Oryctolagus cuniculus: one gene and its partners. The protein of the gene in region 6 purifies or fractionates together with the protein of the main gene of each other region. This does not show direct contact. Links are inferred from orthologs where the notes say so. Each region holds a gene or a part of one and is shown on either strand. Other genes may lie near its edges. The genes, in order: ANAPC2, CDC26, ANAPC4, CDC27, ANAPC1, ANAPC15 and ANAPC7.

Region 1 (3,500 bases), about 170 Mb from region 6:
CTGCACCAGGTGACGCGGGAGCGCATGGAGGACCGCTGCAGGGGCGAGTACGAGCGCTCCTTCCTGCGCGAGTTCCACAAGGTGACCTCCCCGCCACGCTGGCGCCAGGGGCGGGGTGCAGGCCGGCGGCAGTGTGGACGGGGGGTGAGGGGCCGGGGGCGGGGTGCAGGCCGGCGGCAGTGTGGACGGGGGGTGAGGGGCCAGGGGCGGGGTGCAGGCCGGCGGCAGTGTGGACGGGGGGGGGGGGGACGGGGGCGGGGTGCAGGCCGGCGGCAGTGTGGACGGGGGGTGAGGGGCCAGGGGCGGGGTGCAGGCCGGCGGCAGTGTGGACGGGGGGATGAGGGGCCGGGGGCGGGGTGCAGGCCGGCCGGCAGCATGGACCGGGGGGGGGGGGATGAGGGGCCAGGGGCGGGGTGCAGGCCGGCCGGCAGTGTGGACCGGGGGGTGAGGGGACGGGGGGGTGAGGGGACGGGGGGGTGAGGGGATGGGGGGGACTGGGGGAGTCAGGGGACTGGGGGGGTGAGGGGGGTGAGGGGACTGGTGGGATGGGGGTACTGGGGGAGAGGGGACTGGGGAGGTGAGGGGCCGGGGGGGTGAGGGGACGGGGGGGATGGGGAGGACTGGGGGGGTGAGGGGACGGGGGGGTGAGGGGATGGGGGGGACTGGGGGAGTCAGGGGACTGGGGGGGTGAGGGGGGTGAGGGGACTGGTGGGATGGGGGTACTGGGGGAGAGGGGACTGGGGAGGTGAGGGGCCGGGGGGGTGAGGGGATGGGGAGGATGGGGGGGGACTGGGGGAGTCAGGGGACTGGGGGTTGAGGGGACGGGGGGGATGGGGAGGACTGGGGGGGTGAGGGGCCGGGGGGGTGAGGGGACGGGGGGGTGAGGGGATGGGGGGGACTGGGGGAGTCAGGGGACTGGGGGGGTGAGGGGGGTGAGGGGACTGGTGGGATGGGGGTACTGGGAGAGAGGGGACTGGGGAGGTGAGGGGCCGGGGGGGTGAGGGGATGGGGAGGATGGGGGGGGACTGGGGGAGTCAGGGGACTGGGGGTGAGGGGACTGGGGGGGTGAGGGGACGGGGGTATGGGAGGGGACTGGGGGGGTGAGGGGATGGGGGGGACTGGGGAGGTGAGGGGACTGGGGGCCGTGTGCTGCACCCGTACAGCAGAGGGCTGGGGCTGAGGCGGTGTCTGGGCGAGTGGGCCCATGGGGGGCTGTGGATACGCAGGCACTCACGGTCGTCACCACGGCTGAGTCTGTGGCCCCTGCCTGCCAGGGACCTGCCGGGCCCTGATGCGCAGCAGGGTGTGAGGCGTAACAGGTGCTGGGGGCGGGGCCCACCCTGCAGGGGCGAGGTGGGCCTGCCGAGGCCTGACCAGCAGGGTGGGCAGCCTCTGGGTTGGCTGGGGCTCACTGCCACTCACGCGTGGGGGCTCTCCGACAGTGGATCGAGAGGGTGGTCGGCTGGCTGGGCAAGGTGTTCCTGCAGGACGGCCCTGCCCGGCCCGCGTCCCCGGAGGCCGGCAACACGCTGCGGCGCTGGCGCTGCCACGTGCAGAGGTTCTTCTACCGCACCTACGCCAGCCTGCGCATCGAGGAGCTCTTCAGCATCGTGCGGGGTGGGTGCTGCCCCCACCCACGTCCTGGCCACACCCCGCCGGCTCGCTGTCCCCTGCCCCTTCGGCCTGGTGGGCAGTGACCCCGCGGGGTTGCTGTGCTGAGACGCCGCCCGTGCGAGCGTCAAGGGTGCCGTCCCCAGAGCGCCCGCAGCCCGTGTGTCCTCGCCGCGTGCGCCTTCCCGGCCTGCCCGTGTGTGCGTGTGCGTGTGCGTGTGCGTGCGTGTGCATGGCCCTGAGGTGGCCCCTTCCCGCAGATTTCCCAGACTCCCGGCCGGCCATCGAGGACCTCAAGTACTGCCTGGAGAGGACGGACCAGAGGCAGCAGCTGCTCGTGTCGCTCAAAGCTGCGCTGGAGGCCCGGCTCCTCCACCCAGGTGCCCTCAGCCCCGGCGCAGCCCCTGGGCCGGGCGCGCTCCTGGAGGAAGGCAGGGCCCAGCTGGTCTGGCCTGGGGTGGGGGCTCCTCAGAACAGGCTGCCTGGTCCGTGGAAGCCTCTGGAGAAAGTGCCTGTGAGAAGGTGGAAGTGGGGGTGGGGTCAGCTCCCTGTGGTCCCCTAGGGAGACAGGTCCCGGGGGAGACCCGTAGGCTGCCCACTTGGGTGTTGGCACCGGCACCTGGGGGCTGCTGTCCAGGACTCTGAGTGACCGCGCCCCCACCCCCGCAGGCGTCAACACGTGTGACATCATCACTCTCTACATCTCGGCCATCAAGGCGCTGCGTGTGCTGGACCCCTCCATGGTCATCCTGGAGGTGGCTTGTGAGCCCATCCGCCGCTACCTGAGGTGAGGCCCCGCACCAGGGAGCCGGCCTCCCGGCCTTCTCACGCCGGGCACCTCGGGGCTCCTATCCCCCCCACTGTCCCTGTGTCCTGCAGCGACCCGGCCCCCCACGGTCCCAGTGTCCCCCTACAGTGACTCGGCCCCCCCACTGTCCCAGTGTCCTGTGGTGACGCGGCCCCCCACTGTCCCAGTGTCCTGCAGCGACCTGGGCCCCCCACTGTCCCTGTGTCCTGCAGTGACCCGGGCCCCCCTCCACTGTCCCTGTGTCCTGCAGTGACCCGGGCCCCCCTCCACTGTCCCTGTGTCCTGCAGTGACCCGGGCCCCCCTCCACTGTCCCTGTGTCCTGCAGAGACCCGGGCCCCCCACTGTCCCTGTGTCCTGCAGAGACCCGGGCCCCCACTGTCCCTGTGTCCTGCAGAGACCCGGGCCCCCCACTGTCCCAGTGTCCTGCAGCGACCCGGGCTCCCCACTGTCCCTGTGTCCTGCAGCGACCCGGGCCCCCCACTGTCCCTGTGTCCTGCAGCGACCTGGCCCCCACACTGTCCCTGTGTCCTGCAGAGACCCGGGCTCCCCACTGTCCCTGTGTCCTGCAGAGACCCGGGCCCCCCACTGTCCCTGTGTCCTGCAGAGACCCGGGCTCCCCACTGTCCCTGTGTCCTGCAGCGACCCGGGCCCCCCACTGTCCCTGTGTCCTGCAGCGACCTGGCCCCCACACTGTCCCTGTGTCCTGTGGTGACCTGGCCCCCCACAGTCCCAGTGTCCCCCTGCAGCGACCCGGCCCCCACACTGTCCCTGTGTCCTGTGGTGACGCGGCCCCCCACTGTCCCAGTGTCCCCCTGCAGCGACCCGGCCCCCACACTGTCCCTGTGTCCTGTGGTGACGCGGCCCCCCACTGTCCCAGTGTCCCCCTGCAGTGACCCGGCCCCCCACTGTCCCTGTGTCCTGTGGTGACGCGGCCCCCCACTGTCCCAGTGTCCCCCTGCAGTGACCCGGCCCCCCACTGTCCCTGTGTCCTGCAGTGACCCGGCCCCCCCCACTGTCCCTGTCTCCTGTGGTGACCTGGCCCCCCACTGTCCCTGTGTCCTGCAGCAACCTGGGCCCCCC
Region 2 (4,233 bases), about 150 Mb from region 6:
GGGAGACCAGGAGAAGCACCTGGCTCCTGCCTTCAGATCAGCGTGGTGCGCTGGCCGCAGCGGCCATTGGAGGGTGAACCAACGGCAAAGGAAGACCTTTCTCTCTGTCTCTCTCTCTCACTGTCCACTCTGGCTGTCCAAAAAAAAAAAAAAAAAAAAATTCTGTAAAAAAAAAAAAAAGGCTCCTGGATGATGCTAGGTAGTGTAAGCAAAATATGAGTCTATAGATTCAAGTTTAAAAATTGAAAACTTGTAACATAAAACTACAGCTATCTAAGCTGAGGAAGGCACGCATTACAGAAAACTGGAGGTAAAGGTAAAGATGGACTGAAATCTGTCATCTTACCGGAGGTTATATTAATATTTCCTGCTTCAATTCCTGCTTTAAGTCCTTCTTTTCCCAAAATCCCAGATTCTCCTTTGGCCAGCCGCTCCCTTTCCTTCTCTTCCAGACTTCCATAATAAATGTGTGGCTTCTTCACCACCGGAGCCACCAGGTCATCAGGCGCTTTCGTTTTGGTGGCCTGCTAGACCGAAGGCTTCGATTAATTCAAGGCTCGATCTTAGCAATCCACGAGGCTTCCCTAAAGGGTGAAGTTCATCCTGACCTCCCCCAACAAAAGGCCAAACTGGGCGCCAGGGAAGATGCGCTTCACGGACCCGCGGGTGTGGGGATGGGGGCGGGAGGGCACGTCAGCCCTTCAATCACTTCCAGTTTGACAGCTTGAAGAGGTGGATTAAACCCGGTTCTCCGGGTGGTTCTGCCTCTGGAAGACGATCACTTCATTCTGTTGGAAGTGCAAGCTCTTTTTGGGTTTCGTGATACTTCCAGGGTTACCGTTTAACACGGGGGGAAACACCAAGGGTAAGGTAAAAGAACCGGCGTGGTGCCGAGGGAGGGGTAGCCAGTGACAACGCTCCTGCTCGGTCCATCTCAAGCGTTTTGAGACCTGTGGTAGCAGAGCAGGAGCCGGGAGGCCTCATCCCAATTCCGAGGTCTCCTATAGACAGCCACCGTGGCCAAGACACTCGCCCACTCCGGAGCCCTGGTTTGGACCAGTCGGAAGTGGTGTTTGCCGTTCGGGGCTGCGGTGGGACAGGTGCATACGAGTAACAGCACATACACTCGCTCAAGGGTCCGGGGAATGCTGCTCTGCTCTGGAGGGCAGGACCGAGTCCGGCAGCCCTCCACCCTGTCAGCCCGCTCCCTAACGGACCCTTCCCCGAGGGACCCCCACCCTCTCGGCGCTCCCTGCCGCAGTGAACTGAGATCCCGAGCTCCGTACCGTGGAGGACGCTCGTGACGAAGCCATGCTGGGCTCCGCAGCAGCCAAGCCCCAGAAAAAGCCAAGCTCTCCGTTTCAGACCATCCACCGCGCGCCCAGCAAAGCGGAACTACGTCACGGACCGGAAGTGAAGTCGGGCGCCGACGCAGCGCCCTGAGCGGCGCGGAGCATCATGGGAGTCGTAGTAGTTACTATTCTGGTCGCGTGGAGGGGCATGACCCTTAGAACCTCCGAGAAAAGCTCGCGGGAGACGAGGTTCTGGAGGGGAGAGGGGCGCGAAGCACTCTGGGAAGTGTAGTCCAGTTGGGCTCGCAGTAGATTCGTGGTGGGAGCTGAGGTTCCTTCCGGGAAGGGGCTGAGCGGGCTTGGAGAGAGAGGAAGGTGAGTCAAGTCGCGCGGCCGGGCGCTGAACTCTGGAGCTTACCGAGGGCTCCTAGAGACTTTACGTCGTCCCGGGGCGGAGGCCCATGTTGCCATGGAAACCATCGCCCGGACCGCTGAGTGTGGTCCTGGGGCTGGGCGAGGAGGGTTGTCGGGGTGGGGGTGGGGAGGAAAGTCCTCCCGGGGCCGGGGGCTCCGGCCGAGCTGGCTCAGTTTGCGGTGGATTTGGGCAGCGGTGAGAGATGAAGCTCAAAGAGCCCTCTAGCGTCTAAGTGAAGTAAAGAGCGGGCGAAGCTTCGGCCCGGTTTTGCTGTTGCTTTTGTTTCGTCTTCAGCCGGGTCTTTGTGTCAGACTGAGTGAGATGATGGCTAGGAAGGCGTCGGGTAGACCGCAGCCGACTCTCCTGCATAGCCCTGTGCTCCTCTGGGTGCGGGGGCATCAGCGATGAACAAGGCATGTAGTGGGTGGGAGACTCAAAATGTTCGTGTTTGCAGAGCTGGAACACCCCCCTCCCCCATCGTTATCTCTTCCGCCCCCCGCCCCCAACAACTGCAGTCATAAGTGCCTGTTATTTATTGAGCGTTTACTGAATACCACAGTTGTGTAGCCAGGAGCTTAATCGGCATTACGCCATTCAATTCAGACAGCAACAGAGTATAGAGGCAAGGAAGGTCTGGTGCGAGACAAAGATCGGAAACTTAAAGGGATCGGAGCCAGCACTTCAGCCGGGTCTCTACCCTGCTTCCTAGTGGTGGTGGTGGGCTTTTCGTTTTCGCAGAAAAGTTAAAATGCATAGCGATCTTCTCAGTATCCCTTCCTCACCCCATTTGGAACTTCGTTTTCCTCTGCTGCTTGTCGGCATTGGAATCTGGTGGACAGTATCAGATTTAAGTCAAAGCAAATTGAAATGTAATGTTTTGTCCTGGAAGAGGGGCAACCGGGACAGAATCCGGCGCCCCGACCGGGACTAGAACCCGGTGTGCCGGTGCCGCAAGGTGGAGGATTAGCCTAGTGAGCCGCAAAAAAAAAAAAAAAAAAAAAAAAAAGTAATGTTTTGTGTTACCACTGCGTGTCTGTCTCAGGCTTCATGGGAGGAGGAGGAAATGTTTCTTCTTTTATGCACTTCTCAGTCCCCGGTTTCATCCTGGGTACAGCCAGTGGCGTTCATTTACATCAGTCTCATTTAATCCTCACCCCACGGTCCTATGTGTGACTCCTACAGGAGGCCAGACTGGACAGCTTGCTTTGACTTCTTTCTCTGTAAAATAGGACGATCTTGCCAGCCTCACAGGGTTTTCGTATTAAAATAAGCAAGTGAAGAATGGTGATGGAAAAATTAGCCCAGTGCTCACTCAAGTTCATTTTACTTTAGTTGTTTCCTATATTCAGGGAACGTTTACTGACTGCCTAATGTACATACACAGACTCTGTTGGGTGCCATGAAGGTGCCCCTCAACAGATACTAAACGTGATGGGGAGTTCTGTTTGCTCAAAGAAAGGGTTTTTGTTAAAAGTATTGTCTTGACTCAGACTGTTCTCTTGAGCTTCTTTGTGCACTTGTTCTCTCTGCCTGCTCTTTAGATGTCGACTAAGACTCCATTTAGACATCATTTCCTGCCATAGGCCGTGTTTAACATCCCTGGCCACCACCCCACACCTAGTCCAGCTTTCGGGCCAGCATGGCTGCCATTGTATTCTCATCAGTGTTCTTGCTCCCCTCGCTGTTAATTTTCCCCTCACGTGTCTGTTTCTCCCACAGGTTGTGTCTGTACCTTTTAATTTTGTAGCCGGAGCACAAGAAGTCTTTGCTAATGAATGATCTGTCTGGTTGATTGAGACACTGAAGAGAATCTTGTGAATTGGTGAGTTCAGTTTTGCCTAGAATTTTCTTATAGGCAGCTTGCTGGTGTTCAGTTTTTTCAGAAAGAGGTTTTTGAATCACCGCGTTGTGGATCTCCATCATGAAATACAAATGTAAGAAGCATACACCTAAAGCCTTAAGAAATCTATGTGTGGGGCTGGCATTGTGGCACGGAAGGTAAACCACATCTTGCAATATGGCATCCCATATCAGAGTCTTGGCTGCTCTGCTTCCAGTCCAGCTCCCTTCTAATGTGCCTGGGAAAGCACCAGATAATGGCCGGTGTGTGTGAACCCCTGCCACCCACTTGGGAAACAACAATGGAACTCCTGACTCCTGGCTTTGGCCCGGCTCATCCAGAGACACTGTGGCCATGGGAGTAGTGAACTATGGTGGATGAGAGATCTCTGTCTCTCTGTGCCTCTCCATCTCTTTGTCACTCTGCCTTTCAAAAAAAGAAAGAGATCTATGTGTGAATCCAAGTTTGATTTTGCTATTGCCTTCACTTTAGTGTACATGTGTAGAAATTGGCCTTATGTATGTAACTGCAACGTATCACCTCCAGTTTTTCTCTGTGTCATTTTTAATAGCTCATAGTTGATTGGATCTGCTCTCAGTGTAGATTTCAGTATGCTGCGACGGAAACCCACGCGCTTGGAGCTCAAGCTTGATGACATTGAAGAGTTTGAGAGCATTCGAAAGGAC
Region 3 (3,500 bases), on a different chromosome or scaffold from region 6:
ACAGTGGGGACATGGATCCGAGCTGAGGGCCGAAGTGGGTAAGTGGAGAGCAGGGTGGAGCGTGCCAGGCAGGAGATGGCAAAGGCCCTGCGCGGGAGACAAAACATCGAGTCTGGGAAACTAAATGGCACTAGCGTAGGCAAAGCAGGGCGCTAGGTAGGCTACAGGCCATGCAAAGATCTTGGAGTAAGACAGTAACACAATTAAATCCACTCAGGAACCTACACCCGAGGCACTCAGTGTGGGCTGCAAAACAGCAGTCCAGAGGATGCTCGCTGATCCTCGGGAGATGAGATGTGGCTAGGGAGAGGTACTAAGCATACAGGGATTCTGCAAAATTTAACCCGAACACTCAGCACCCACTTGCAAACTGCTTCACTCAAGTTGCTGTGCATGGAAACAGCGTGAGACTTGAAGTTCTAGGACCAAATCCCAGTTCTGACACTGAGTAATTTTGGGCCAGCCACATAACACATCCTAAATATAAGTTTGCAGTTTCCACTGTGGAAAATGAGGATAATCCTAACAAACAGCCCGCAAAGGTGTTAAATCAAAAAGTACACAGTAGGCTTTAGAAACTGTAAAATACATGGAAACACTTAACTTCACTGCTCACACGAAGGTTGATGTCCAATTCCAATTCTCACCTGAGTGAGAAAAAGACCCAGATGGGGTCTAGACTCATGAAAAGACTTCAAAAATTACTTCATAAAGCAGAATTACTATAACTGATTCTCAATCTTGGGTTCCCCAAGATTCCCCTCAAATGCCAATGTAGTAACTTTAGATGGAAAAGGCTAGAGCATTGCCAAATGATGAAGAGAAGGCCACAGGAAGACCAATGCCATGTACATCTGGGTGCAATACCAAGAAATTCTACATCACCTCCATACCTCTGTAAGTGACTTATAACCAACTTCTGTATACTGGAATATGATGATTCGATAGACTGGCCAAGCTTTTTTAAGCCCTAATTAAGAGAAGAAAATATATTTAGCATTGAACCTGGATACCACATGCCATTCAAAATAAAACAAAATTTAGTGTGTTCATAGCCATTAAATATGTAGATACTTAAACTGTACCTTTACTGTTAACTGGTTCATTAAGAGAGTCTGCAGTTCAGCACTACAATGAAAAAGAAAGCATTCTTAATCACTTCTCTATTCAAAATCTGAATCCATCATTTAAAACTTTTGAATTTCATAGTACAAACAAGATTTTGAAATAAAAAGAAACAGCCTAACAAAAAGTTAAGACTGTTGTACTCACAATGGAACAGATGAAAAACTGGCAACACAAAGTTCAGAAACAGATTGAAATCTATTGGATACACTTGTGCTAACACAGCATTTCAAAACCATAGGGAGAAGTGAGCAGACTCAATAAATCAAACTAGATTTATCTGAATACTTAGGGGAAAAAAGTTAGCTTTCTAGGGCATACAACCAAGTAAATCTAGACTATGTAAATGGAATAAAACAGAAGAAAATACAGATCAACCTCTGAAAGCCCTTACAACAGGAAAGTCTTTTTAAGAGTAACAGCAGGTGCCATAAAGAAAGGTTGGCTTGGCTACATAAAAAGTTTAACCTTTCATATATATTAAAAAATACACACAAACAAAATGTGTGATCACATTTACATTTTTAAAAGTACACAGGAAAGCCTTGAAAGACATACTTTTGTTTGGTAATGTTCTAGAATTTTCTATGTGTGAAGCGGTGCGTACAGGTTTCTTTGGCATCATCTCCATTTACCAAACAGGAGGAGGGGAAGCAGAGCACCCAACCCGAGCTCATTACCTTGCTTTCCCCCACAGCAGCAGGTGCATGAATTCATCCTGCACTGATGTGGTCGTGTTCTTTTCCTAGACAAAACAGTTAACTGTGATACATGTTTTTGCAACTATAAGCACATTTATTTCAAATTAGAGGAACATGACTCTCTCTACCTCAACTTGCCTCAGATTCAGAACTGAAACTGACCACGTGGACATTAGTGCCAGGAGACAGCCAGCTGGCTTCTCCAATACCGTCCTCATCCCCTCACCCTACCTCGGCCACATCAGTGGGCTCCTGTGCACAGGCTCGGTGCTCCGGACGGCAGTGCTGAGGGGTGGACTCTAAGATGTGAGGCCTAGTGGGAGGTGGCTAGGGGGCTGCCAGGGCTGCCAGGGCACGGCCCCCTGAAGGGACTAAGGTAACGCTCGTGGGACTGTGTTTAGCTCCCCCAGGCCTGAGTCTGACGGAAGGGGACGCCTGACGCCCGCGCTCCCAGTCCCACTGCAGAATCCCTCTGGCACACGCTGCAGCTGTGACGCTGGCTGCCACGAGCCTCCCCTGACAGAGGCGGAAGCAATGGGGCTGTCCAATCTTGGACTCAGCCTGCAAAACTGAGGGCGACGCAGACCTCTTCTCTCTAGACATTACTCAGCCTCAGGCATTCTGTTACAGCGGTGGCAGAATGACTAATACAGAGCCCTTTCGGCAAAGCTCTGAGAAAGCAGTGAGGTCAGACCAAGCCATCTGAAAAAAACTAACGAGCTTAGCTGTTTGCAAATCAAAGCAATTTTTCTCATGTATTGCATAAAGTGAACACAGATGCCATGAATGCCTTTACATATTTATTTATTTGAGAGGCAAACAGAGAGAGCAAGCTCCTAGCCACTAACATGTCTGCAACGGCTGGGGCTGGGTTAAGAACAAAGCCAGGAGCCAGGAACCCAACTATATGAGCCATTGGTGCTGCCTCCCAGGTCCACGTTAGCAGGAAGCTGAGTCAGGAGCTGGAGGCGGGCACCAAATCCAGGCACTGCTGTGTGTGTCTCACCCCGGGCCAGACGCCCTAAGCACTCTAACTCTCCCATAGAAACTTAACGGGCATTACCTGCACAAACTTAGTGAGACGAGAATCCATCTGCATGAGGATCTCTTCCCATGCTTCACACATACACGTCAGCGACAAATTTATATACTGTTAAAAGAGTGTCAATGAAAAACATTTAAACTAGCACGCTCACTAGACAATATGTGCTTCTTATTGTCAAATGTTTCAGAGAAATCCAGAATTTACTTTCAATTACGCTTTTAACTCAGTTAAGCCTAAGAAGAGAAGATGATAGATAACATTTCCTAATTACTTAACTTTAAAGCACATGATGATTCTTTCAGCTTTCACAATAAAACATTCTTAAATTAGGTTCGTGCCTGGTAAAACAAATATCCTAAGCTTTCCCAGGCCATAGCAGAGAGTGGGATTGGAAGTGGAGTAGCCGGGACTCAAACCAGCAGGTGTATGGGATGCGGGCACTACAGGCGGCGACTTTACCAGCTACGCCACAGCCCCGGCTCTGGGATAGTATGTTTCATGCACACTGACTGTCAAAATGTTGCTCTGCCAGCTAATCAGTTTTCAACGACAGCCCTTAAAAAGACTCTCTTGACTTCTGAGAATGAACAACATGGCCACGATTCACTGTAGCTCCTCCTTCCAGATGC
Region 4 (2,608 bases), on a different chromosome or scaffold from region 6:
CTCCACCTTGCGGCGCCGGCACACCGGGTTCTAGTCCCGGTTGGGGCGCCGGATTCTGTCCCGGTTGCCCCTCTTCCAGGCCAGCTCTCTGCTATGGCCAGGGAGTGCAGTGGAGGATGGCCCAGGTGCTTGGGCCCTGCACCCCATGGGAGACCAGGAAAAGCACCTGGATCCTGGCTCCTGCCATCGGATCAGCGCGGTGCGCCGGCTGCAGCGGCGGCCATTGGAGGGTGATCCAACGGCAAAGGAAGACCTTTCTCTCTGTCTCTCTCTCTCTCACTGTCCACTCTGCCTGTCAAAAAAAAAAAAAAAAAAAAAAAGATGTGGCGTTGGGACCCCACATTCCATATCAGAGTGCCTACGCTTGAGTCCTGGCTCTGCTGATGGCACCTTCCAAGTAATGTGCACTCTGGGAGGTAGCAGATGATGAGCAAGTCCTTGGATCCCTGCCACATACACAGAAGACCTGAATTCGGTTCCTGGCCCAGCCCTAGAGATTGTGGGCGTTTTGGGCAATGACCAGTGACTAGGACCTCTGTCTCTCTGTCATTCACTGTCTCCCTCTTTCCCTGCTTCTGAAATAAACCATGAAAAATTGTTTTAAAATTAACAAAAGGTAAGTTTATTTTGGTGCAAAAAAATTGAAATCTAGGCACAATTTTTCCATAAGACACATTCTCCATTAACTTTTTTAAAAAAGATTATATTTTACTTTGTTAGTTAAATTGGGTAGGTTGATACTTGAAGCCTAATGCTTACTCAAGGAGACCAGATGGAACTTCAGGCTACTTTATTCTGTAACTTAGTTTTCAAACCACTTTCACAACCTGATAAGGTGGTTGTTGTTTTTAAGTAGAATGGTGACAAAAGCAAGGATTGTCACCACCTTCATGTTTCACAAAAGAGGCTGTGTGTGGGGAGGGGGTTTTCAGTGTATTTTGATGGGTGCTTGCCATTTCTTAGTTTTTGTTGTAACTTAAATGTTTTTCATTTTGTTTTCACAAGAATTAATGAAGTATATTGATTAAGATAACACCAAGCTTTTGTTTTATGATTTAGAAAATTAATAAACATAATTGCTTAATCAAAATGTAAAATTTTGCTGCTCTAAAATTTTTCTTTGCCTTTTTCAGTCTGCTTTACAAGAACTTGAAGAATTGAAGCAAATTGTTCCCAAAGAATCCCTTGTTTACTTCTTAATAGGAAAGGTAAAGATTGAGGCCATGGTCCTAAACTGTGATTTTCATACCAAATATTAACTTTTGAAGAATAAACATAATACTTTAGTGTACAGTATCTATTGAGAAAATTCAGTGAGAGCTCTGAACTAAGTGCTCTGAAGATAATGGATTTAGTTCTGACATCTTAAGAAGATAATGTCCTAATGAAGGAGCAAGAATACATAACCCATAATCCTAATCCAAAATGGTATTGGAAGTAGATTAGCAATTTGCAGCCAAAGGCAAGTAATGAGGCTGTAACTGAGACTACCACATGGAAAGCACTTAGCTTCCAGTTCTCAGTAAAAACACTTAGAAATCCCCCAGAAGAAGACTGTTAATACCTCAATATTGTCTTGATTAGAAGAAATGGCTTCCAAGATTCCTATTTTATAGGCTGGGATCTCAGTGTCTAATTGATTTAACTGGTACAACTGTGGGCAGATATTGAGTTGATAGAAGTATATTTAAAGTCAGCGTGAATGTACTTTTTTTTTTTAATATATTATTTGAAAGGCAGAGAGAGAGAGAGAGATCGTCCATCTGTTGGCTCACTCTCCAAATGCCTGCACAACAGCCAGAGGTTAGGACAGGCTGAAACCAGAAGCCTGGAACTCAGTCCAGGTCTTCCGTGCGCTGGCAGGAACCCAGCTACATACACCGTCACCTGCTGCCTCCAAGAGGCTGTATTAGCAGGAAGCTGGAATCAGGAGCAGAACAGGGGCTTGAAGCCAGGCCTCATACACAGGTTCCCAGCTGCCGCCCAAGTGCCCGCCACACTGTGTGAACGACTGCTAATCGAGCAGCTTGGAGTCCATTTCTTCCCGTTGTCAGTGTTCAAGTCAGAGTGAGATTCTTGGAAACGCACACCTGAAAGGTAGTCAGGGAATTCTGAACGTGGTATCTGAGTGCGCTCAGAAGCAGCTCACAGCCAGCGTGAGTCCGTCTGTGGATTGTAAATGTCTTCCCTGTCTGAATGGGGTTAGCACATAAATCAAGAGTCCCATTGAAGCTTTAAATGTTTAGAATTTTATAGCTGAAGCTCACAACTTAATGAAAAATGTAGTATTGCTGTTTATTTTTAGGTTTACAAGAAATTAGGTCAGACACACCTCGCCCTGATGAATTTCTCTTGGGCTATGGATTTAGATCCTAAAGGAGCCAATAACCAGATTAAAGAGGCAATTGATAAACGCTATCTCCCAGATGACGAAGAGCCAATAACTCAAGAAGAACAGATCAGTGAGTATCATACATATGACTTTGAGTATTTGAAAGCTACTTTTTGCATAAAGATTTGTGGACTGCTTGTTTTTCTATCCATGGGGTTTTATTTTCTTTATACCAAGTGGAATTTTAGGTGACCAGGGTGAGGTAATAATCAGATG
Region 5 (2,799 bases), on a different chromosome or scaffold from region 6:
TCTTAAGTTTTTACCTCAAGAAGCTAGAAAAAGAAAAGGAAAGTAAACCCAAAGTAAGCAAGTACGAGCAGAGTTTTTGAAACTGAAAAACACTAGGGCCAAGTCAGTGAAACGAAAACCTGGCAGGCGAGGGAAAGCCATTGGAGGGGAGATGGGAACCACTGTGCTTGCCCTTCTTAATAGGCTGTTAAAGGATCTCTTCTCGTCTCCTTTAATTTCTCTTCTTCTACTGCTCCCCCAAATCCCAAGTGTTTCTTTTTCTTTTTTTCCTTTCTTCTTTTTCTTTTCTTTTCTTTTTTTTTTTTTTAAGATTTACTTATTTATTTGAAAATCGGCTACACACAGAGAGATCTTTCATCCACTAGTTCACTCCCCAAATAACTGTAACAGCCAGGGCTGGGCTGATCCAAAGCCAGGAGCTTCTTCCAGGTCTCCCTCATGAGTGCAGGGAGGGGCCCATGGACTTGAACCATCCTCTGCTGCTTTCTCAGGCCATAGCAGAGAATTGGATTGGAAGTGGAGCAGCCAGGGCTCAAACCATGGCCATATGGGATGCCAGCACTACAGGCGGTGGCTTTACCTGCTACCCCACAGTGCCCCCCCCCCCCCAAAGTGTTTCTACCTCCCAGGAGACTAACTTCCTCACAGTTGTGTTCAGTGGACTTTACAGCTCACTCCATCTACCATGTTGAGGTTTCCCTCAGCTGATCACTGTGTCAGGGAAATGAGATTGCCTTGATTGCCTACAGCAGTGGTTCTCAGTGGTTCCTGGTTCGGCAGCAACATCGCAGGGGGACTTGCTTTAGAAATGCAGTGTTTCTAGTCCCACCCCAGAGCTAGTGAGTCAGAAATTGTGGGGTTGGGGCCTGCCTGTGTGTTCCTAAGTCCTCTCAGTGGCTCTGGTGGACAGTGAAGTTTGAGATCTAGTCTTGGAGCTGAGGTCAGCCCCTCAAATGTCACACAGTGGAGGGAAGGGTGGTAACAAGTTGTCTGGGAGATCACCACAGTGACTGCTACCTCTTGATGACACTCAGCATTTGTAGTTACACATTTGTTTGTGTCCTTATTTATGTCATCTTTCTCTCCTCCAGAACAGGCCAGACTCTGCAGTAACAGGTACTTAGTCTAGTTTGCTGCAGTAGCCTCAATACACAGCATAGTACCTGGTTGATATATGACAAGTGCTCAGAAATTCTTGATGGAAGAGTAATAAGATTCAGGTATCCCTGGGCCTCTTGTTCCGCTGTCAGTTGCTTCCATTGAATTTGTGTTTCTTCCACAGCCGGGGGTGACATGTGTGTGCACGCCTACCTCAGTGGGCAGCCCTTCGAGGAATCTCAGCTGAGCATGCTGGCCTGCTTCCTCGTCTACCACTCGGTGCCTGCTCCGCGCCACCTGCCGTCTGTGGCACTAGAAGGTACTTGCATAACTAAAGCTTCTTTTCAGGACCTCCATTACCAACAGCCTTAGGTTTTTACTTTCTTGGTAGGAAAAGTTTCCATTGAGTTATGTTCTCTAGCTCGTCATTAATGATTCATTGGCATCGATGAGAGTTTTTTCTGGAAAAAAAGAACCTGTCAACTTTACACATGTGTAAACTTTCATTTATAGTCACCCAAGGATGGATTCTTCATGGAACCCCAAACACTGGTCTGCACCATTAGACTAGATGTTCATATTATCCTCTGTTAATCCATTTTTTAAAAGATTTATGGATTTATTTGAAAGGCAGAGTTACAGAGAGATGGGGAGAGAGAGAGAGAGCTTCCATCTGGTGATTCACTCCCCAGATAGCGGCAATATCCAGGAGCCTGGAACTCCATCCGTGTCTCCTAGGCACGTTAGCATGGAGCTGGATCAGAAGTAGAATAACTAGGACTCAAACCCGTGCTCATATGGGGTCCCAGCATCGCATCACAGGCAGGTGTAACCCACTGTGCCACAGTGCTGGCACTTATTCCTTTTTAAACTAAACTTCAATTTTCAATTTTTTTTTCTTTGTAAGATCCTGTCTTTATTTATTTTATTTGCAAGATAGAGACAGACAAAAAGAGCTCCTATGTGCTGGTTTACTCCCCAAATGCCCTCAGTAAAGCCAGGAGCCTGGAACTCAATCCAGGTCCCCCATGTGGGTGGTAGGAACCCAGTCAACTTGAGCCATTACTGCTGTATCGCAGGTCTGCATTAGTGGGAAGCGGAAGTCAGGAATCAGAGCAGGAATTGAATCCAGTCACTCTGATGTGGGATGTGAATGTCATAAGTGGCATCTAAGCTGCTAGCCAAATGCCCATCCTGACTTTACCATATATATCTGTGTGTGTGTGTGTGTGTGTGTGTGTGAAATCTTAAATCCTAAAATTATAAAGCTTTAAATGAACAAGTGCTTAATATTGTATGTGTTTGACTTTTTTCATAAGAGGATTTAAAAATTAATAATGTTGGCCGGTGCTGCGGCTCACTTGGCTAATCCTCTGCCTGTGGCGCCAGCACCCTGGGTTCTAGACCCGGTTGGGGCACTGGATTCTGTCCCGGTTGCTCCTCTTCCAGGCCAGCTCCCTGCTGTGGCCCGGGAGTGCAGTGGAGGATGGCCCAGGTCCTTGGGCCCTGCACCCCATGGGAGACCAGGAGAAGCACCTGGCTCCTGGCTTCGGATCAGTGAAGCACACCGGCCTTAGCGGCCACTTGGGGGGCAAACCAAAGGAAAAGGAAGACCTTTCTCTCTGTCTCTCTCACTGTCTAACTGCCTGTCAAAAAAAAAAAATAATAATAATGTTAGCATTTAGCTGTTTTTTAGAATAC
Region 6 (4,222 bases):
TTATTGTTTATCTCTTATTGGAATGACAACTGGATGAAGAGAGGGACTTTTTTGTTCAGTATTATATATCCACTACTTAAAATAGTGATGGATATATACCAAGTCACTCAGTAGGTATCTGCTGAATCAATGACTAAACTGAAAAGGTGAATATTTCCAAGAGGCACATTTTAAATATTTAATGAAAAATATTTTAACAAACTCCTATCACATTTGATATACACAGTACACTATCTCTTTCTTAAAAGATTTGCTAATTCAAAAGGCAAAATGATAGCAAGAAAAATGGGAAGGGCAGAGAACAAAAAGAGAGGGGAGAGAGAAAATCTTCCATCTGCTGCTTCACTCCTCAAAATGGCCACCAGGCTGAAGCCAGGAGACAGGAACTACATCCAGGTGTCTGACACGAGTACTTGGGCCATCATCCAGTGCTTCCCAGGCACACTAGCAGGGAGCTGGATGGGAAGGGGTGCAGCCGGGACTCCGACGGGCACTGATACAGGATGCAAGTGTCTCAGGCAGTGGCAGACTCCCTGCACCACAGTGACCCAGCCTACATTACCTCTTGAACAGAAAATCTTCACGTTAGCAAAGGGTCACAGGAAGGCTGGAAAGAGAAGGAACTGAGTCTAGGCAGAGGAAAAGGACTTTGCCAAAGGTCACGCATTGGCTGGACAGCACTGGAGCTGCGGATGACTGCTGGCTCTGAAAGAGGCTGGTAGGAGGTGCAGCTCCGTGGGAGCTGGCTTAGAAGGACCTCTTGCAAGAAGGCATGAGGATGCTGAAAGGGAGGCTGAGCCTGAGGCCTATAGAACGGAGGCATAAGCAGATGAGCTAGAGATGAGAGGCTGCAGGGGACATGCCCCAGGCCTGAGAAGGGCCGTTCCCCAGCGGTACAATGCTGTGCTTGAGGTTGACTAATCTCTCAAACCTGCACATAATCTCCAGTGTCAGAATGGGGCAGGCGACCTAAGACAGACTTTAGTCTGGAGCCGATGGCTTGCCCACCGGATTGCGAGGGCGTTGGGGGAAGCGAGCATGTTCGCAGATTCATCCCCAGCTTCTAGCAGAGCCTGGAACACCGGGGATACACAAAAGAATGAATGGACTCAAGCAGGAAACCGAGGCTGAGAAAGGACGGGCAGGAGGGAAATCAAATCATCCCGCGATTTTGAGGTAGAAGCACATCAAATTCTCTGGGACGCACCACGACAAACCAGCTTTCGTACGAACACAGCTTGCTGCCCGCTGTTCAACAAGGGGTTCGCGAGCAATTATTGCCTGGGGCAGAGGGGCGGGACTAAAAGCAGCCGTTGGGGCGGGGCCAACCTGGAGAGGTCAAATGGCTGGGATTCGAGGCGGGGCCAAAAGGTAGGCGCGGCAAGTGTCCTTCTCCAACTAGTACGTGACTGAGGTGTGTACTACGTCACATCCGGCCGACGGCGGTAGCGGGAAACAAAAGGAGCCGAAGAACGCATGCGTTTGGTGGGTCCCGGATTCTGGCGGGTCCTTCCGCTCAGGCGGGGTGAAGCGCTTCCGGGTCGCCGCCGGCTGCCGCTTCCCGGCGCGGTAAGTACAGAAGCGAGGCTGTGGCCGGCTCCTTGCCCGTTCTTCCTTTCTTCCCCCCGAGAAACTCAGTTCTTTAACCCTCTTCCTCAGGAGCTCCATGTCCAGACTCCTTTACCCTTATAGAGCTCCAGCTCATTGGCCGCTTCCTCGAGGCTAAGCCCCACCCCATTACTCAGGTCCGTCCATTCATTGGTGTCACTTCCTGTCACCCAACATTTCTTTCAGTTAATTGGCTCTACCCAGACCCCGCTCCTTTCTCGGTTAGCAACCCTATATGGGCAAACTCCTGTCCGAGTCCCGCCCCCGCCTTCCTCCTGTTGGTCAACCTTACGGTTATTATCATCTTAAGCAAAGAAGGGGCGGTGGCTTCGCGGTGGAGGGTTGGGCTTTCGGGGCCAAAATCTCTGGCCTGTCAGTTCTGAGCGCGAGGGTGGACTGTACCTACTACACGGGCTGGGGAGCTGAGGCCTAGGGAGGGGCGGCGGCTGGCCCTGGGTCGATCAGATCAGGGCAAGAGCAGGACTACACATCGACCCTTTCCCCCTGCTCTTCTCCCTCGGTGTCTGGCCTGACCCCCTCCGCGCGTTCGTTCTAAGCCCTGACTCACTGTGTGACCTAAAGCCAGTCTCTGCCTGCCACTGGGTCTCAGTTTTCCCGTTTGTTTGTGGAGAGGTTTGAGTTCAAGATTCTCTGGGGCATTCCCAGTTAGCTTTGTCAGCTACGTAATCAAAGCTGATTTTCCTTGTTCTTTTACGTATTCAGCCATGCAGTCTTCTGTCTACCTATTCACTTACCCATGCCTTGTGGAACAGCTTACTGCACCCTGCTTGCCCGGGGTAACCCACGCTCCCTCCTTCCCCCCTCCCACCAATTTGACTGTGGTCAGTGACAGAAGTGGTTAGTGTCCTAAATTTCTGAAACCGGGTGGGTGTGGCATGTACTCTCGGTTTGAATGCTCAGAAGTGGTGATTATTTCAGTAAATCCCTGCTAGTTTGCTATAATTTCATAATGCCAAGGTGCCTTCTGGGTTCCTGTTTCTACACTTGGCGCCCATTCTCTTGCCTGCTTGAACAGCCTACAGATAGCAGTACTTGATTATCGCAGTAACTTTGAGGGTGATAAAATTGTTACTATCCCCATTTTACAGATGAGGAAACTGAGGCCCAGAGAGGTTAAGTGACTTGGCCAAGGTCAAACAGCTAGTAAGTGGTGGAGCCAGGACTGAAACCCAGGTCTGTCTGATTCCTAGAGGAAAGTAGCTGCCCTTCCTTGCTACTTTCTACACCACCCCATCCCTGAATCAAATTACTCCCAAATAAGAATCAAGCCAAGACAAACGACATTCACCTGACGTTCTCCCTCAGTCCAGGAGCCATGTCCACCTTGTTCCCTTCCCTCTTCCCTCGTGTGACTGAGACACTGTGGTTTAATCTGGATCGACCCTGTGTGGAGGAGACAGAGCTGCAGCAGCAGGAACAGCAGCATCAGGCGTGGGTGAGTGAGGATCTAGCCCAGCAGTCAGAGCCCCCCACCCCCTCAGTGGGCCTCAAGGCAGACCTTCCCTGCAGGAACTTTTTGCCCTGAGCTGAGAATAGTCAGGCTGGGAGCCAGGGGGCCAAGGTTCTTGTCTTTGTGGTAACCTGATTGTTGGGAGGACCATGGGACTTCTGGGCCAGATTGGAACCCAGGCTCCTGACAGTCATCCCTAACTCTCTTCCCTAAGGCTTAGGAAATAACACGTTTGATAGTTATTGCAGACCTAGCAGGAGGCGTGTTCACCCTCACTATAGTTATAGGAGGAAAGAAAGACCCAGAGTGCTGAAGTAGCAGATCAACCTCATAGAAAAGGGGCAGATGACAGGAGGGAGAGGCCTGCATCTTCCGAGAACCGGGAGGAAGCTTCTCCCCCACACTTGAACGTCTTTTCTGGGGCAGAGTGGGTCAGTCCCATGCCTCTGACCTGCCCTGCTTGCACCCTGGTCCTGCTCTGCCCCTCTGGCCTCCAGCTCCAAAGCATTGCAGAGAAAGACAACAATCTGGTACCTATCGGCAAGCCAGCCTCAGAGGTGAGTGGCCCCGGCACGAGAGACCTGAGTGGGCCTGGGGTGGACCAAGGCTCTGTTCTAATTCTGAATGTCCTGCCTCTGACCCAGAGCAGTTGTGATTCTCAGCTCTGGATGGAGACAGAAAGGGGAACTAGAGGGATGGGCCTTGGGCCTAGCACTGTGGTTTTGCAAAACAGGTGCTAACCTTAAAGGGGTAATGTTGGCGAGTATGAGGGTCATTCTGGCCCCAGAAAGCGGCTTCAAGTGGGCCAGCTCTTGAACGGGTCCAGGCTGGCCTGTAGGGTCTACAGGTGCTCCCCTGCCCCACCCCCCAGCACTATGATGATGAGGAAGAAGAAGATGATGAAGACGATGAGGACAGTGAAGAAGACTCAGAGGATGATGAGGACATGCAGGACATGGACGAGATGAATGACTACAACGAGTCACCTGATGATGGAGAGGTCAATGAGGTAGGCAGGTGTGTTGGGAAGGGCCTCTGTTCCTGGGCCCCTACCCCTGACCTCACTGATGGCCAAGGGGTACAGAAACCCTGGATCCAGCCAGGGGCACGATCTGGGGCTGAGGCTGGCTGAGGCTCCTCCCC
Region 7 (3,500 bases), on a different chromosome or scaffold from region 6:
TTAAAGCTTTCTTTATTTGAAAGATAGAGTGACAGATCCTTCATCCTCTGGTTTACCCCCCAAATACCTGCAACATCTAGGTCTGGGTAGGATGAAGCCAGGAGTCAGGAACTCCATCTGTTTCCAGTGTGGGTGGGAGGATCTCAAATACTTGGGCCATCTGCTGCCTCCCAGGTTGGACAGAGTAGTTGGGACTCCAACCCAGGCACTCCAGTATGAGATGTGCGTGACCGAAGGGGTGGCATAACCCGCTGCACCACAGTGCCTGGCATAATATATTGGGCATCAGTTTTTTTTTTTTTTAATCCATTTTAGAAGAACAGTGAGAATCTACTCATAGGTTCAAATTCATATCAATATTTAATACTCTAACATATACTCATATCTCCTGCCCTTCTTATTTTATTGAAAAACTGTTCTGTGGCGCTTGTGCTTAGCAATAAGGAATTTTCCAGGTAAGATGTTTGTGTTCATCCTCCTGCCCTTACAAGGCAAGGAATCTAAGCAAGGGGGATCTGGGGCATTTTAGTTACTGCTGCTTTATTCAAGTGTTGCTGAATTTTAAAAATAGCAGAACTTCTTGAGAACTGTGTTTTTAGACTTCCTTGTATTAAGGAATTATTTACTATTTTCTAAGTTTTTAAAATTTAAGTTATTTCTTCCATCTAATTTATGAAGGTTACTGCTAATAAAAATACTTGGAACTGTATTTGGGTCCTGTATAGTAAATTGTGTTGTTGTAACGTCTAAAAGTCTTTTCTTACCCTCAGAATTTTTGTGTCTGTTCCTATGCTCAAGATGTCTTCCTTTTGGAAGAAGCCATTTTGATAATTTTGAATGAACTGTTGCTTGTCTCACTAGAAATGTGCCATGGTTTCCTCAGTGACTTGCCAGCTTTGGAAGGACATTTTTAGAAAGTGGGTTACTGGCAAAGCAGCTCAGCTTTGTGGTACCCAGTTCTTAATGTCTACAGCCATCACTTCAGGAGGGGCTCGAGGAGTCTGTGTGTTAGGAGGGCAGATTCTTCTCTCAGTTGAACTCTTGTAGTCAGGAGCAAACAAAGATGTGTGCCTCAAACATAAACCTAAAATATTTACAGTTTTTCTTTCTTGTCTGTTAGGGAGTTAACTGGCTTCTCAGTCTGTGTAAAGGACAAGGAAGTGAGTCAAAAATACGTCTAATTGAACATCTGTTAATGTATGGTAAACACCGCCACACATTCCCTCATAAGTTAAAGGAAAATTCCAGTGTTAAGATTATTGTATCTTGGTAAATTTTCAAGAGTAAACGTACAATGTCTCACTTAGTTTTTGGAAAATGATGACTGCTTGAGTTTATAGCTGGTGAAATGTGGCTTTATGATGGTCCCAGATAACAATTACCTTTTAAGAAAATTGATTTTTTCACTAAGTAGTACTCAGAACTCATTCTTTCAGTGATGGTCAAGTAGCTTAAAGGAAATTCTGATGTTCAAACATCCGGTCCATCTGTCATAGCTTTTTAATAACAAGTAGTCAAGAAACGATCTTAAATTCAACTTTTTTTTTTTTTTTAATATTGACACCGATACTGGAGTTTTCCTTTAAGTACCTTCCTTTGCATTTTCAAAATAGCCTAAAATGGAAAATCTGAGGCCAAGTGAAAATCTTCTGTTTCTAGTATTTCATTACTTTACTGTTTGAATTAGTGTGGATTAGTTCTGTACTGGATTGTTTAATCTAATGCAGGTCTCTGATGAGAAGAGATGTTCTTAATCCTCAGAGTGTTTACCCCTTGAGGAAATGTCTGGCATGCAGAACCACAGATAACTGAAGAGATTGCGGTTGACTTTTTTTTTCTTTTGTGCCCTCATGTTGACTGCTTCCTTCAGTTAATGATCTGCCAAACACTTTCTATATTTAAGATCTATTAATTTAAAATTGGAACATTGTCTTCTCTTTGCACTAGTGAGATCATTTATCCCTTCTCTGTAACTTCTACATTCTTTGGAACTTTGAGATTTCCTCAAATTCTTCCTGCTGTGGTTTTTACAGAGAATTAGCATTGATATAGTTTTACTAAATATGTATCTGTCTATTTTTGTAAGTATGTATTTATTTGAAAGGCAGAGTGACAGAGAAAAAGACTAAGAATGAGAGAGAAACAGACTGATCTTCCATCTGCTGGTTCACTCCTCAAGTGGCTGCCAGTCAGACCTGGGCCATGCCAAGGCCAGGAGCTAGGAGCTCCATCTGGTCTCCCACATGGGTGGAGACCCAAGCACTTGGACTGTGTGAGCTGCTAGCCTCACAAGTCGTAGTTGAACCTGCTGCACCACAATGCTGGCCCCAAAGTTATCTACTTAAATTGTGCCAAAAAACAGATGTCTGCACTCTGGATTTAAATCATATATCTAATCATGGATCGCCTCTGGAGGTCAGTTTGAATCTGGTTTTTATAGTGTTACTTTGGTGAGTCAGATAGTACCCACATGTCAGAGCTTTAAGTGTTAGGGTAGAGTCCAGCCATTGGTCTCATTGTCAGGGAGAAGCCAAGTATCACACCTCTCTATCTGTCATTTCCTCTGGGGAGAATGTGTCTGATTCTTCTTAACTAGCTATGTTAACAGGTCCTCATTTTCTTATCCCTTAATAGTAATTCAATTTAAAATGTACAGAATTTAGCAGTTTGGGGTAGTTCATCCTCTATCTTAAGATCAAAAAAGAATCATGGTAACTAGAATTCTAGGACATTCCTCAAATGAATGCAGTTCTTGTTTCCAGAGGCAGCATCTTTGGCCAGGGTAATACTGGGCCTCTTGGTTAGGTAAGTGAGAGGGTAATGAGACTTTCCTCTTAGAGATGGGAGTACCTAGGAAAAGAAAGTGTAGTAGTTTCTTCTTCATTTTGATGAATGGGCTTGTTCTTTGTTTATTTGTAGAAGGCTGTGGTAGGTTGTCCAGTAAAAAAAACAGTAGAGTATCTGGTAGTAAAAAACAGGACTTTTTCATGGCACTATGCATGTAACTTGCTGTCCTTTATTTTATTTTTTTATACAGATAAACATGATGCTGGCAAATTTGTACAAGAAGGCTGGTCAGGAGCGCCCTTCAGTCACCAGCTATAAGGAGGTGCTGCGGCAGTGCCCTTTAGCCCTGGATGCCATTCTAGGTATAGATCATTCTCTACCTGCGTTCATGGAGGGCCTGATGTGCAGGCTAGTAGTTCTCCATCTTGGCCATATCGTTACATAGCTTTATTTATTTTTTTAATTTTGATTTGTTTCTTAAAAGTTTACCTTATTTGAGAGAGAGCGAGCTGCCATCCACTGGTTCACTCCCTAAAATGCCTGGGAGCTGGAAACTCAATCCACACATCTCACGGGGGAGGCGGGGACCCAGCTACTTGAACCATCCGCTGCTGTCTCCCATGTTGTGCAGAGGCAGAAAGCGGAAATCAGAGTGGAGCCAGGACTCAAGTCCAGGATATGGACACCCAAGGCAGCTCTTTAACCCCTGTGCC

What was found.
Region 1: the proteins of ANAPC15 (region 6) and ANAPC2 purify together in Homo sapiens (affinity purification with mass spectrometry; 4 studies listed by BioGRID and IntAct, with this or other methods). This does not show direct contact. The link is inferred for Oryctolagus cuniculus from reciprocal best matches to the Homo sapiens genes ANAPC15 and ANAPC2.
Region 2: the proteins of ANAPC15 (region 6) and CDC26 purify together in Homo sapiens (affinity purification with mass spectrometry; 3 studies listed by BioGRID and IntAct, with this or other methods). This does not show direct contact. The link is inferred for Oryctolagus cuniculus from reciprocal best matches to the Homo sapiens genes ANAPC15 and CDC26.
Region 3: the proteins of ANAPC15 (region 6) and ANAPC4 purify together in Homo sapiens (affinity purification with mass spectrometry; 10 studies listed by BioGRID and IntAct, with this or other methods). This does not show direct contact. The link is inferred for Oryctolagus cuniculus from reciprocal best matches to the Homo sapiens genes ANAPC15 and ANAPC4.
Region 4: the proteins of ANAPC15 (region 6) and CDC27 purify together in Homo sapiens (affinity purification with mass spectrometry; 3 studies listed by BioGRID and IntAct, with this or other methods). This does not show direct contact. The link is inferred for Oryctolagus cuniculus from reciprocal best matches to the Homo sapiens genes ANAPC15 and CDC27.
Region 5: the proteins of ANAPC15 (region 6) and ANAPC1 purify together in Homo sapiens (affinity purification with mass spectrometry; 3 studies listed by BioGRID and IntAct, with this or other methods). This does not show direct contact. The link is inferred for Oryctolagus cuniculus from reciprocal best matches to the Homo sapiens genes ANAPC15 and ANAPC1.
Region 7: the proteins of ANAPC15 (region 6) and ANAPC7 purify together in Homo sapiens (affinity purification with mass spectrometry; 3 studies listed by BioGRID and IntAct, with this or other methods). This does not show direct contact. The link is inferred for Oryctolagus cuniculus from reciprocal best matches to the Homo sapiens genes ANAPC15 and ANAPC7.

What each region holds. Positions count from the first base shown.
Region 1 is NC_091432.1:237,477,511-237,481,010, reverse strand, and holds part of ANAPC2 (anaphase-promoting complex subunit 2), read left to right. Parts: coding exon 1-81; intron 82-1,442; coding exon 1,443-1,617; intron 1,618-1,871; coding exon 1,872-1,991; intron 1,992-2,280; coding exon 2,281-2,398; intron 2,399-3,500. UniProt on the Homo sapiens protein: Together with the RING-H2 protein ANAPC11, constitutes the catalytic component of the anaphase promoting complex/cyclosome (APC/C), a cell cycle-regulated E3 ubiquitin ligase that controls progression through mitosis and the G1 phase of the cell cycle.
Region 2 is NC_091432.1:216,878,127-216,882,359, reverse strand, and holds the start of CDC26 (anaphase-promoting complex subunit CDC26), read left to right. Parts: upstream 1-1,433; 5' UTR 1,434-1,667; exon of another isoform or gene 1,668-2,120; intron 2,121-3,426; 5' UTR 3,427-3,529; intron 3,530-4,118; 5' UTR 4,119-4,158; coding exon 4,159-4,233. UniProt on the Homo sapiens protein: Component of the anaphase promoting complex/cyclosome (APC/C), a cell cycle-regulated E3 ubiquitin ligase that controls progression through mitosis and the G1 phase of the cell cycle.
Region 3 is NC_091433.1:20,500,248-20,503,747, reverse strand, and holds part of ANAPC4 (anaphase-promoting complex subunit 4), read right to left. Parts: intron 2,977-3,500; coding exon 2,890-2,976; intron 1,871-2,889; coding exon 1,806-1,870; intron 1,129-1,805; coding exon 1,086-1,128; intron 971-1,085; coding exon 894-970; intron 1-893. UniProt on the Homo sapiens protein: Component of the anaphase promoting complex/cyclosome (APC/C), a cell cycle-regulated E3 ubiquitin ligase that controls progression through mitosis and the G1 phase of the cell cycle.
Region 4 is NC_091448.1:17,014,162-17,016,769, forward strand, and holds part of CDC27 (cell division cycle protein 27 homolog), read left to right. Parts: intron 1-1,133; coding exon 1,134-1,208; intron 1,209-2,286; exon of another isoform or gene 2,287-2,305; coding exon 2,306-2,462; intron 2,463-2,608. UniProt on the Homo sapiens protein: Component of the anaphase promoting complex/cyclosome (APC/C), a cell cycle-regulated E3 ubiquitin ligase that controls progression through mitosis and the G1 phase of the cell cycle.
Region 5 is NC_091433.1:113,013,416-113,016,214, reverse strand, and holds part of ANAPC1 (anaphase-promoting complex subunit 1), read left to right. Parts: intron 1-1,282; coding exon 1,283-1,417; intron 1,418-2,799. UniProt on the Homo sapiens protein: Component of the anaphase promoting complex/cyclosome (APC/C), a cell cycle-regulated E3 ubiquitin ligase that controls progression through mitosis and the G1 phase of the cell cycle.
Region 6 is NC_091432.1:63,593,510-63,597,731, reverse strand, and holds the start of ANAPC15 (anaphase-promoting complex subunit 15), read left to right. Parts: upstream 1-1,422; 5' UTR 1,423-1,569; intron 1,570-1,659; exon of another isoform or gene 1,660-1,745; intron 1,746-1,792; exon of another isoform or gene 1,793-1,901; intron 1,902-2,717; exon of another isoform or gene 2,718-2,802; intron 2,803-2,934; 5' UTR 2,935-2,944; coding exon 2,945-3,064; intron 3,065-3,576; coding exon 3,577-3,636; intron 3,637-3,950; coding exon 3,951-4,096; intron 4,097-4,222. UniProt on the Homo sapiens protein: Component of the anaphase promoting complex/cyclosome (APC/C), a cell cycle-regulated E3 ubiquitin ligase that controls progression through mitosis and the G1 phase of the cell cycle.
Region 7 is NC_091452.1:8,069,590-8,073,089, reverse strand, and holds part of ANAPC7 (anaphase-promoting complex subunit 7), read left to right. Parts: intron 1-1,120; coding exon of another isoform or gene 1,121-1,160; intron 1,161-3,037; coding exon 3,038-3,149; intron 3,150-3,500. UniProt on the Homo sapiens protein: Component of the anaphase promoting complex/cyclosome (APC/C), a cell cycle-regulated E3 ubiquitin ligase that controls progression through mitosis and the G1 phase of the cell cycle.